Saccharomyces cerevisiae S288C: one gene and its partner. The protein of the gene in region 2 interacts with the protein of the main gene of each other region in a biochemical or structural test. Each region holds a gene or a part of one and is shown on either strand. Other genes may lie near its edges.

The links.
Region 1: the proteins of CBP3 (region 2) and CBP6 are reported together in a solved structure, tested with the Saccharomyces cerevisiae proteins (one study listed by BioGRID).

Annotation. Positions count from the first base shown.
Region 1 is NC_001134.8:479,935-483,805, forward strand, and holds CBP6 (Cbp6p), read right to left. Parts: upstream 990-3,871; coding exon 501-989; downstream 1-500. Other genes in the region: MUD1 (Mud1p), read left to right, coding at 1-389; GRS1 (glycine--tRNA ligase), read right to left, coding at 1,430-3,433. UniProt on the Saccharomyces cerevisiae protein: This protein is involved in processing of the 5' terminus and the intervening sequences of cytochrome b pre-mRNA.
Region 2 is NC_001148.4:141,408-148,923, reverse strand, and holds CBP3 (Cbp3p), read right to left. Parts: upstream 1,509-7,516; coding exon 501-1,508; downstream 1-500. Other genes in the region: THI6 (bifunctional hydroxyethylthiazole kinase/thiamine-phosphate diphosphorylase), read left to right, coding at 1-355; YPL216W (uncharacterized protein), read right to left, coding at 1,795-5,103; GTPase BMS1, read left to right, coding at 5,753-7,516. UniProt on the Saccharomyces cerevisiae protein: Chaperone required for the assembly of ubiquinol-cytochrome c reductase of the mitochondrial respiratory chain.

The DNA of each region.
Region 1 (3,871 bases), on a different chromosome or scaffold from region 2:
AGCATAAGCTGAGATCAAGAAAGGTAGAGGAGGCTGAGATTGATAGGATTGTAAAAGAATTTGAAACCCGTAGATTGGAAAACATGAAGTCTCAGCAAGAAAATCTAAAACAATCGCAGAAACCTCTTAAGCGGGCTAAAGTGTCCAATACAATGGAAAATCCACCGAACAAAGTCCTTCTTATACAAAATTTGCCAAGCGGCACTACCGAGCAATTATTGTCGCAAATACTTGGCAATGAGGCTTTAGTTGAAATCAGATTAGTTAGCGTTCGTAACCTAGCTTTCGTGGAATACGAGACCGTTGCTGATGCTACGAAAATCAAGAATCAGTTAGGCTCCACTTACAAGCTACAAAACAATGACGTTACCATAGGATTTGCTAAGTAGAATTTCCTTTGCGGAAGTATACCTCGAGTAAAGAAATTCACAGATAAATTTGAATAACGTTCTCCATTATGAATAAATATGTATTTACAAGCTTAGAAAATAATGTGCTCTTTATTTACCAAATAATACAGTTCTCATTGCAGTAAATAAGCTTTCCTTTTTCTTACCGTCAACGGCATTTATTAACCGTTGATAATATTGGGGATTTCCTGCAGGTTTATAGAGCTTATCGCCAATATCGTAATAGTTTCTGAATTTATTATTCATTATAGTGCTCAAGGCACGAATTTGCTCGTTGATGCTTTCTTCCGTGAATTTCTCATCTACCATTTTATTTTGAATTTTGGTTAACATCTCCTTATTCAGTCCTAATGGACCGGAAGTTCTGTTAATTATACTTTTTATTTCATCTAATGAGGGTTTTTTCTCTTTTATAGATTTTCCTTTGTCATCTACATTTGGCAGACCCGCTACACGTCTAAATCTTGCTATTTGTACATCCCTGAATGAGACCAAGTGGTGTATACGATCCTTTGGATATTTTTCCAGTAAATTAACTAATTTTTTGGCAGAATCCCTGACGACCTGGGAAGAAGACATTTTGGCACTTGCTTGTGGAATACGGAGTTTAACTTGGTAAGCTGATAGAGAGAATGTTTCAATGAAGGCTACCTTTTTTTCTTATAATGTTGCTACCACAGGAAATCTTGATATACGTTAATGTTTTGGCCCCTACAAGGCCGGAAATATTTCGCTTTTTCTTGATATCAGAATTTTTCGCATGTCCGACCATGCGCAGAGCTGCTATGAAAGTACTTTAACTATTAGTGTGAGGAATGGCTAAATAAACAGCAGATGTGATTTCCGCACTTCTTTTATAAACTTCCAAAATAATCGTATTAGTGGACAGTACATAATCATATCTTGCAATACGTATCAATAGTAAACGAATTATTTATTCATACACACATGTATATACTTCTCGCTTCTTTTTTTAATTTACATGTTTGGCGATATATAGTTAAAATTAAGTCATTTATTTAGTCAGTTTCAGCTTCAGCTTCAGCTTGGGCAATAAAAGGAGTCAAATCCTTGGTACCTTCTTCCCAAGAAGCACCATTGTAAGTGATATCGCGGATAGCCTTGATGACATTTTCGACGGAACCTCTAACTTGCTTGGTGGAATCTCTTTCTCTCAAAGTGACAGAATGGTCTTTGGCAGATTCAAAGTCAATGGTGACACCGAATGGAGTACCTAATTCGTCATTACGGGCATATCTTTTACCAATGGAAACTCCAGAATCATCAATCTTAAATGGGATTTGAGACTTTCTTAAGATTTTGGCGACTTCAGTAGTAACAGGAACTAAATCTTTGTGGTTAGATAAAGGAACTAAAAGAACCTTTGTTGGAGCAACCAAAGGTGGGAAGGAAAGAACACTTCTGGCATTGTCTTCTGGTCTGTTCCAGAAAGAGTGCTCAAAAACGGAGTAGATGATACGGCCAATACCGAAAGATGGTTCAATGACACTAGGAACATATTCTCTAACGTGTTCAACCTTTGTTCTTTGTTCGATTTTAACCAATTTATCGTCCAACTCGACTTCGCCATCAACACCATCAACCTTTATAGTAAACTTGCCATTTGCCTTCAATAACTCAGCCTTGGAAGCCAAGTCATCTTGAGACATATTCAATAGATGAGATTCAACTTTTGGTGCATCTTTTCTGAATTTTGGACCGAACAATTTTTTCGTCAAATCAATTTCCCACTTGGTGACTTCAATTGGATTATCTAATTTTTGTCTAACAACCAATTTTTCTTTGGTCTTTTTGGAATGAACGGTCAAATCATAGGCAGATCTATCAGCACATCCGACACATTCAATCCACCCGTAAGATGTCTTCAATTCACCATCCCAACAGTCAGCAGCATAATGTGCCATTTCATTAGCCATATGTTGACGGAATCTCAATTTGGACTCATCAACACCAATTTTCATCAAAAATTGGTAAATTCTGGCAATAAAGTAACCCAAAGTTTCATTATCGACCATTCTTGAAGCAACTGCTTCACCAACTGTCTTGACAATTGGTTCAGTAGAACCAGCTTCTTGAACATCACGAGGCAAAAAGGAAAGCTTGATGTCTTTGATTTCATTAAATTTTGGATGAGATTTGTCCAATGGGTCAACGAAATGTTCAATCTCTGCCATCAAAAATTCACGGACTCTTAATAAACCGGCCCTTGGGGAAATCTCATTTCTAAATGATTTACCGATAGAGGCTGAGGCAAAAGGGGTCTTACTGTTGTTAAATTCTAACAACTTGTTAAAATTCAAGAATTGACCTTGGGCAGTTTCTGGCCTCAAGTAACCCTTTAATTGACCAGATGGGCCAATAGCCGTTTCAAACATCAGGTTAAAAGCCCTTGGAGATTCTAAAGTTTCTCCGGTGACTGGGTTACCGATATCGTATTTTTCCATCAATTCACCTAATTCTGGGCCGGAATAACCATCTATTTTAGCCAAAATTTCTTCATATTCTTTGACAACGTCGTCATCCAATTTGACTGCTTTAATTTGTTTAACTTTTTTCTTTCTCTTCTTCTTTTCGGCATCGTCCTTAGCAGCGGCATTAGCATCCTCGACTAAACCTCTGGCTTCTTGGTCACCCTTTAAGCGAGCTTCCAAAACTTCTTCGACTAAATGGTCAGCTCTGAAAATCTCACCAGTCTTCAAATCTCTACACATCCAATCAGAAAATTTGTCAACATGACCTGAGGTCTTCAAAACCTCATATGGAGTTAACATAGTACAATCAACTTCCAACATATCTTCTTCCAAAATAAAATGCTTTCTCCAGGCGTCAATGATGTTGTTTTGGAATGCACAACCTGGTGGACCATAGTCATATAAACCAGAAACCCCACCGTACAAGTCAAAAGCTGGGGCATAAAAAAATCTTCCTCTCAAAACACTTTCTAGCTGTTCTCTGTTAAATGGAACAGCGGCTCTAGCCTTCTTGATATCTTCTACACTCATTCTTTTAATCTTAACCGATTTTTTAACAATCTGAGAGTAAAATCGTCTACTGATATTGAAGAACGACAATTTTTCTTGAAAATCAACACGAATGCAAAAAGGGAAACTAAAATAAAAGAAATCCTCAAAAGTAATTGAACAGATTTCGAGTCCTAATTGCAAGTAAAATTATGTATACAAAGTACGTGATAAGTATCGCAGCAGTGATTCAACACTCGAGAAGAGTAAAAATTTTCAATTTTTTTCCACTGCGCTGAAATATTACGAGGCGTAGAAAATGATCACTACAATGCCGTTGCTGCTTATTGCAGCGTAAGTGAGCTTCATTCACAGACCATTTGCCTCGATAATCCATGAATCATATCTGGTTCATATTATGTTTGTAAATGTGTGTCTTGTTGCACTTAATCTATCGCGATAGCGCCAAACCAAGCGTTC
Region 2 (7,516 bases):
TGGTACTTTTGGAGGCGAATACAAACTTTCATCAGGAACAGAAGGAATAACCGCTGAAGATCTTCCATGTGTAATAATTGAAGATGGCCCAATTCCTATCATGGGTGACATCACTGCAAGTGGATGTTCACTTGGTTCTACAATTGCTTCCTTTATCGGTGGGTTAGATTCCACTGGAAAACTGTTTGATGCTGTGGTTGGTGCTGTCCTATTATACAAATCAGCTGGTAAGTTGGCTTCCACCCGTTGTCAAGGAAGTGGTTCATTCCATGTCGAATTGATTGACGCATTATATCAATTATTCCATGAAAATAAACCAGAAAAGTGGTCCGCTTCTTTGAAGAAATTCAAATAAACTATTTACAACGTAATGATTTTATAAACTGATTAAATAAGGAAGAAAGCCCAAAAAATTGGAAAAAACTTAAGGAATTTGTGCGGATAGTATCTGAAGAATAAATAAGTGTTTTCATAAGTTTTGAAGTTACAAACTAGCTCGTTTAGTTTGTATATGACAGCCTACTTCTCTCGCTTGGTAAGGTTTTAGGATCCTTGTCTAGAGCTTCATATTTTGCAATGGTCTTGGCCTTCAACTCTTCCTCTTGCTTTGGTGTCAGTTTTTCGACCTTCACCCCAGGAGGAACAAACTTGAATTTACCTGTGGCAAACTCTCTGTCTGATAACCTGCTTAGAACATATAGTTGAGAATAAATGTATCTCACAACAGACTCTAAATGAACCATATCAATGTTCTTTCTTCCACCAAAAAGATTTCTCCAGACAGCTGTCGCAAGTGTACCATCATCTGTAGCAAATCCTTCATCATATGCAAATATCGCTCCTCTTAATTGCGTATTGAAATCTTTCAAATATTGATCTGCGATTCTACCAGAATTAACTTTCATTTCCTCGAATAATCTCAGCTCAATGTCAGAAAATGTTCTATCTACCAATTTCTGCTGATAGTTTCTGCCGTATTTGAAAGGCATGGCTCTCATACGTACAAAAAGTATCCACTCGTGCAATACAGTGATTTGAAACCATTGTGAAAAAGTACGTGGTAGCTTCAAATCCTCGTAAAAGTATTTAGCAGTTTCTGATAATGGCTCGTCCTCGTATTGTAAACCTTGCTCTTTACAAATTTTATAATAGTAAGATCCTGCAACGGGCCCTGCCCTCACTCTATCCATATCTAAATGAAATGCTCGAATTACTAGTTCACCCAAGGCTTCTTTCCATTTGGGAAGTTCGTACTTTGACGATTCATATTTACTATGAGCTAGAGGAATTTTATTCTGAGCAGTTTTCACTGGTGCTTTATTGCTTACATCTAGTGGTTTCGAATTCAGATGTGAGCTTTTTGCTAAAAGCTCTGGCGAATCTTGTGCAGTTTCTTTATTTTGCTTGAAAACACATGTTTGATGCAAATAAGCTCTCGAGTAGTAAAAAGGGGACTTTCTAAGGAAAACAGGGAGTCGACCTGAAGTAAATCTATTGACTGACATCATCAAGTGTTGGAATAGCTGAAGAGATTGTTACGGAGATCATAGTGTTTGCTAAATATTAATCTTACTAATGCGTCAGTCGAGGACCAATTTTGACGTTGTTTTCCTTGCTGGCTATAAATTCAGAAGAACGCCGGGTAAAGCCTAAATACAACTCCAGTCAGACGCCCTGAAATGGGCCAATTTATATACGAGGAATAATGAATGGTGAAGATTAAATAGTAAAAGATATTTCTAATATCTTTCTAAGGCGTATACAGGAAGAGTGATTTGAACTGCAGAGTTGTTTCTAGTTGCGTTCTTCATCCTCTCGTCGTCTTGAAATAAGTTGACATTCAATCTCCTCTAATATACCCTGCACATCAAGATGTGCAGCTTTATCTACTCGTTGAGAACTTATCCCATAGCCTGAAACATGACTAATATGCTTATACCTCTGATGATTTAAAAGCTTCGTAAGAATATCCTCTTGCCTTTTTCTTTTCGTTTCAACTATAAATTCGAGGTCTATCGTCCTCAATTGTTCGAAATGAAAATTCAAAGGATAAATCAAATTTTGTTGCTTTTTGAGAAGTGCTCTTTCACATTCTCCAAGGTGAGCTACGTCTTTTAAAATCGCTTCCAAAACGAGATCATTCTTTGTCCTTGATAGTTTTTTGGAAATTTTCTCCATGTTGGAAAAATGTTGGCCGTTGGATGTACAAGTTGTCTCAATTCTTTTCAGTTCAGGAAACGTGAACTCGTTATTTTTCAAAAGTTTGTGATTTTTTTTGAAGGTTTCATCACATTCAATACGCCTTTTAATTTTGAACTGTTGCTTGTATGATACTTCAATACGGTCCATTTTGGATGTCAAAGCTTTCTTCAATTGTCCCTCATTTTCTCTTAAATCATCCAACCTATCTACTAACATATGTATATCTTCTATATCGTTGAAGAAAGCCCATTGATGATGAGAGAGTAGGAGCTTTTCTGGAGTTTCTGATATAATTTTTTTGTCTATGAATGCCGGAATAGTTGGCCTCATTAAGATACCGTTTGAATTAATTATCATGAAATTCTCACCTTGAGCAATTTGATAGTAAGACCCGTCTGTCGACCTAAATATTGAAAAGACTTCTTTTGTCGCGTAGGCAGTACCTTTTGCTTTAGCTAACAACTCCCATTTTTTCAAAGATTCGACGTCGACATCTAAGCAAAAGTTTATATCCGCTTCAGAGGGTCCTTGAACCCACAAAAAACAGCAGTTGTAAAGTTCCTCATTTTTTTCACTGATGGCTGATGACGATCCATTTGAGTCCATCCAATAATATCGATTTCCATTTCTATCTTTACCCAAAATCTCTAGTCTCTTGATATCGCTCTGAATCAATTTTGCCTCTAGGAAGGCGATATCTTCCATTAAGTATGCAATTTTCACTTTAAGGGCATTGACCTTACCTTTACATTCATCTGATCCATATCGGTTCATTGAAACGTTGCTGTGAAGCTTCACGCGATTTTTGGTTAACGTTTTTAGTTGCCGTTTCAATTTGATATACTCTTTTTTTGCACTATCCAACTTTAAGCGGATTCCATTGCACAGTTTTGGTACTTTATCTACCAACTCCTTAATATAACTCGAGAAATTGGACGCAAAATCTACGAGAACCCATAAAACATCAATTTTATCTTTTATAGATAATCTCTTGCGAAAGTTATCCCAGAGCTCATCACCTAAATTTACAAAATTCATGGATAAAGGTAGTATTTTTTTTGTGATACATTTTGCGACATCACTATATGCTATCATATGTGTATTCTGTTGCAAGATTCCAAGGAGACAGATCAACCAATTGCCGTTGCTAAAGTTTTTATTGTGCAAAAGTTTAACCCAGCTAGTATCTCCATAGTTCAAACACTTTTCTATAGCTATATCAATTTCTGTTTTATTTCCTTCCTCCTTTCGCTTTTCTTCAGTCCAATTGTCCATCAGATTACAATTCCAATCAGGTTCATTATCCGTCATCAGACACATTAACGAGCAAACTATATCAATGTAAAGTATATTCACTTTTTCGTACGATTGAAACTCCATATCGTCATTTTTTAGAGGCTTCCCTTTAAAAATGGAATACATTACAAATTCAGTACTTTTATCCGTTATAAATTTCCTCATTTTCTGGTTTCTGGTGAAATTGCTAGGTATTCGTTGACTCTCATCTGCATTAAAGACGTTAGCCTTCTCACGCTGGGATACGTTACTACTGGTCACTTGATTATATATTTCGTTTCTTGGCTTCTCATTTGTGAAACTCCCTTTGCTGTTGTAAGTTTTAAGAAAGTTTATTTTGACATATTCATCTACTAAAGCCTCCGGACTAGTACACTTGATAGTAGTAAGGAACTGATCAAAATTAAAATGTGATAGACCAATAAAACGTCCAAAAAAGCTCAGGAATTGATAAACAACCAATAGTCGTTCCGTTGGAAATTGACTGCACTCTTTGAACCATTTTTGATCGATATTCTTATATTCTAAGGAGCTATCTAAGTAGCTGATATTTTCAAATGGTATCGAAGGCCCAGTGAATGGAAGCTCCTTGTCGTCGACGGTTCCCTTCAAATCATTGTAGGCAAGGGAGTTCACATTATCGTAAATGTGGTCAAATGAGACTGAAATCTCGTCGTCAATTGCTTTTATTTTAGATAGTGACGTTTCCGACGTTTCCGACGTTTCCGACGTTTCCTTCCAGTCAGCAGGTTCAACATCGCTCTCTGGTGGTATAGTAAGAGGAGTGTAAAGCTCGGAAGAAGATGAGTTCATTCTATCCGGCAAATAATCAATCATATTAGGAGAGCATTTAGGGTTTACATCATATCTTTCTATATATTCTTGTTTCACCCTCCATGGTGCGTGCTCCTTATTCGATACTTTTATGAGTATTTCATTAAGAAAACACGCAATTATGAATTTAGAAAAGTGTGATTCTGGCCTTTTAATTTCATTCTGGCCTACAATTAGGGCCGCACCTTTAGATTCTCGATTCAGGCATTCTGTGATTAAATACAGTGACAATTTTGGGGCAGAAATTTCTCCCTTTTCACTTTCCATCATCCCGTTAGATTGAAACACATCCTTGACAAGGAACAACGTGACATTGTTTTCAATAGTTGGTGATTCTACCAAGTTAGGCTCTCCTTCTTTATAGGTAATCAATGCATTTTTTTGGATAGTTTTCAAGCACACCGTATCGCCTATAAAGAAACGGTTACTAAAACGCTGAAATGCGCTTTCTACAAGGTGTCCTACCTTCCTTATCGGACTGAAGTTTGCGAAATTTGCTATAGCCTTCCTTAGTTCTTTTGGTAAAAGATATCTGACCTTTTCACGGTGCTGTTCTTCGCTTTTTAACGCCTTGAAATACGAAAGGCCATCTTTTCCACTAATCTCACAGGTGAATATATCCCTTTTGTAAAAATCTAGCTTTTTTAAATCACTGTCATAATCATTTATACGCTCGCTACTTTCTTTAATCACCCATGGAGTTTCAGAGAAGGAATCAGCAGACTGTCCTATTTCCTTAGGTTGTATTTTCCTTCTGTTAAGCAGAACCATTTTTGCTTTGAATTTAAAGTACGGCTAGAAGAAGAGCCAAACTAGGGATTGCGATTTTTACTGAATGAAAATGATTGTCTCTCTTACTAAGTCTGCTAACATTTATCAGGTTCATAATGTTTACTATTGAAGTGGCGCGTTACAAGAAAACAAGTCATCCCATATTGAAATGACAACAAATAGAAAAATACACATAATTCCATATCGCTAAATCACACTATCATATACAAAATGGACCAAAGTAAACAAATGTCGATTCATGCAAGTATTGTTACATATCTTGTCACTTTCTCTTCCAAAAGTTGAGGATAGCTGTAAAGGTGCATTTGCTAAACTCTCAGAAACTGCTGGTCCTAAACAATATCAAAACAAATATCAGATAGGTAAGCTTAGATTATTTTAAGGACATGTGAGCCATAGTGCAGATACTCGTACTACTGTTGTAAATATTTCTGTAATTTCAAAGTTGAGATTATCTAGATGAAGTTTTTTTTTTGTTATCGCCTAAGTTTAATGTCCGTACAAATGAAAAATTTTCAAGGCGATGAGCTGAAGTGAAGCTTCAAAATTAAGGAAAGTATTTGCGCTGTTAAGGTAAAAATATCACATAATAGTAGCCTTTAATCAGCCATCTGAGTTATCTGAAACGATGGAGCAGTCTAATAAACAGCACCGTAAGGCGAAGGAGAAGAATACAGCAAAAAAGAAGCTCCATACGCAGGGTCATAATGCAAAGGCCTTTGCCGTGGCAGCCCCAGGTAAGATGGCGAGAACTATGCAAAGGTCAAGTGATGTGAACGAAAGAAAACTGCATGTTCCTATGGTTGATCGTACCCCTGAAGATGATCCGCCTCCATTTATCGTCGCTGTCGTGGGTCCACCTGGAACAGGAAAGACTACTTTGATTCGGTCCCTCGTCAGGAGAATGACAAAAAGCACTTTGAATGATATTCAAGGTCCTATTACTGTTGTCTCTGGTAAACATAGAAGACTAACTTTTTTGGAGTGCCCTGCGGACGATCTGAATGCGATGATTGATATTGCTAAGATTGCCGACTTGGTTCTTTTACTAATTGACGGTAATTTCGGTTTTGAAATGGAAACAATGGAATTCTTAAATATTGCTCAACATCACGGTATGCCAAGAGTACTTGGTGTAGCTACACATCTTGATCTGTTTAAATCTCAGTCAACTTTGAGAGCTTCTAAGAAAAGATTAAAGCACAGATTCTGGACGGAAGTTTATCAAGGTGCAAAATTATTTTACCTATCTGGTGTGATTAATGGAAGGTATCCTGATAGAGAGATTTTAAACCTTTCACGATTTATATCTGTTATGAAATTCAGACCATTAAAATGGAGGAACGAACATCCCTATATGTTGGCTGACAGATTCACAGATTTAACTCATCCGGAATTAATAGAGACTCAAGGACTGCAAATCGACCGCAAAGTCGCTATCTATGGTTATTTGCACGGTACTCCTTTGCCTTCTGCTCCGGGCACTAGGGTGCATATTGCTGGTGTTGGTGATTTCTCAGTAGCACAAATTGAAAAATTACCAGATCCATGTCCCACACCTTTTTACCAACAGAAACTGGATGATTTTGAACGTGAAAAAATGAAAGAAGAGGCAAAGGCTAACGGAGAAATTACAACTGCCTCTACGACAAGAAGACGTAAAAGGTTAGATGATAAAGATAAATTGATATATGCTCCAATGTCCGATGTCGGAGGTGTGTTGATGGATAAGGATGCTGTTTATATTGATATTGGAAAGAAAAATGAAGAGCCAAGTTTTGTTCCCGGCCAAGAAAGAGGTGAAGGAGAAAAACTCATGACGGGTTTACAAAGTGTTGAACAAAGTATTGCAGAGAAATTTGATGGTGTGGGTTTGCAATTGTTTAGCAACGGCACTGAGCTTCATGAAGTTGCCGATCATGAAGGCATGGATGTTGAAAGTGGAGAAGAAAGTATTGAGGACGATGAAGGAAAGAGCAAGGGAAGAACCAGTTTAAGAAAACCAAGAATTTATGGTAAGCCAGTTCAAGAAGAAGACGCAGATATTGATAATTTACCGAGTGATGAAGAACCTTATACAAATGATGACGACGTGCAGGACTCCGAACCAAGGATGGTTGAAATCGATTTCAATAATACCGGTGAGCAGGGTGCCGAAAAATTAGCTTTGGAAACAGATTCTGAATTTGAAGAGAGTGAAGATGAGTTTTCCTGGGAAAGAACAGCGGCAAACAAGCTGAAGAAAACTGAAAGTAAGAAAAGGACCTGGAATATCGGTAAGCTGATATACATGGACAACATTTCACCTGAAGAATGTATAAGAAGGTGGAGGGGCGAGGACGACGATAGTAAAGACGAAAGTGACATTGAAGAAGATGTTGATGATGACTTC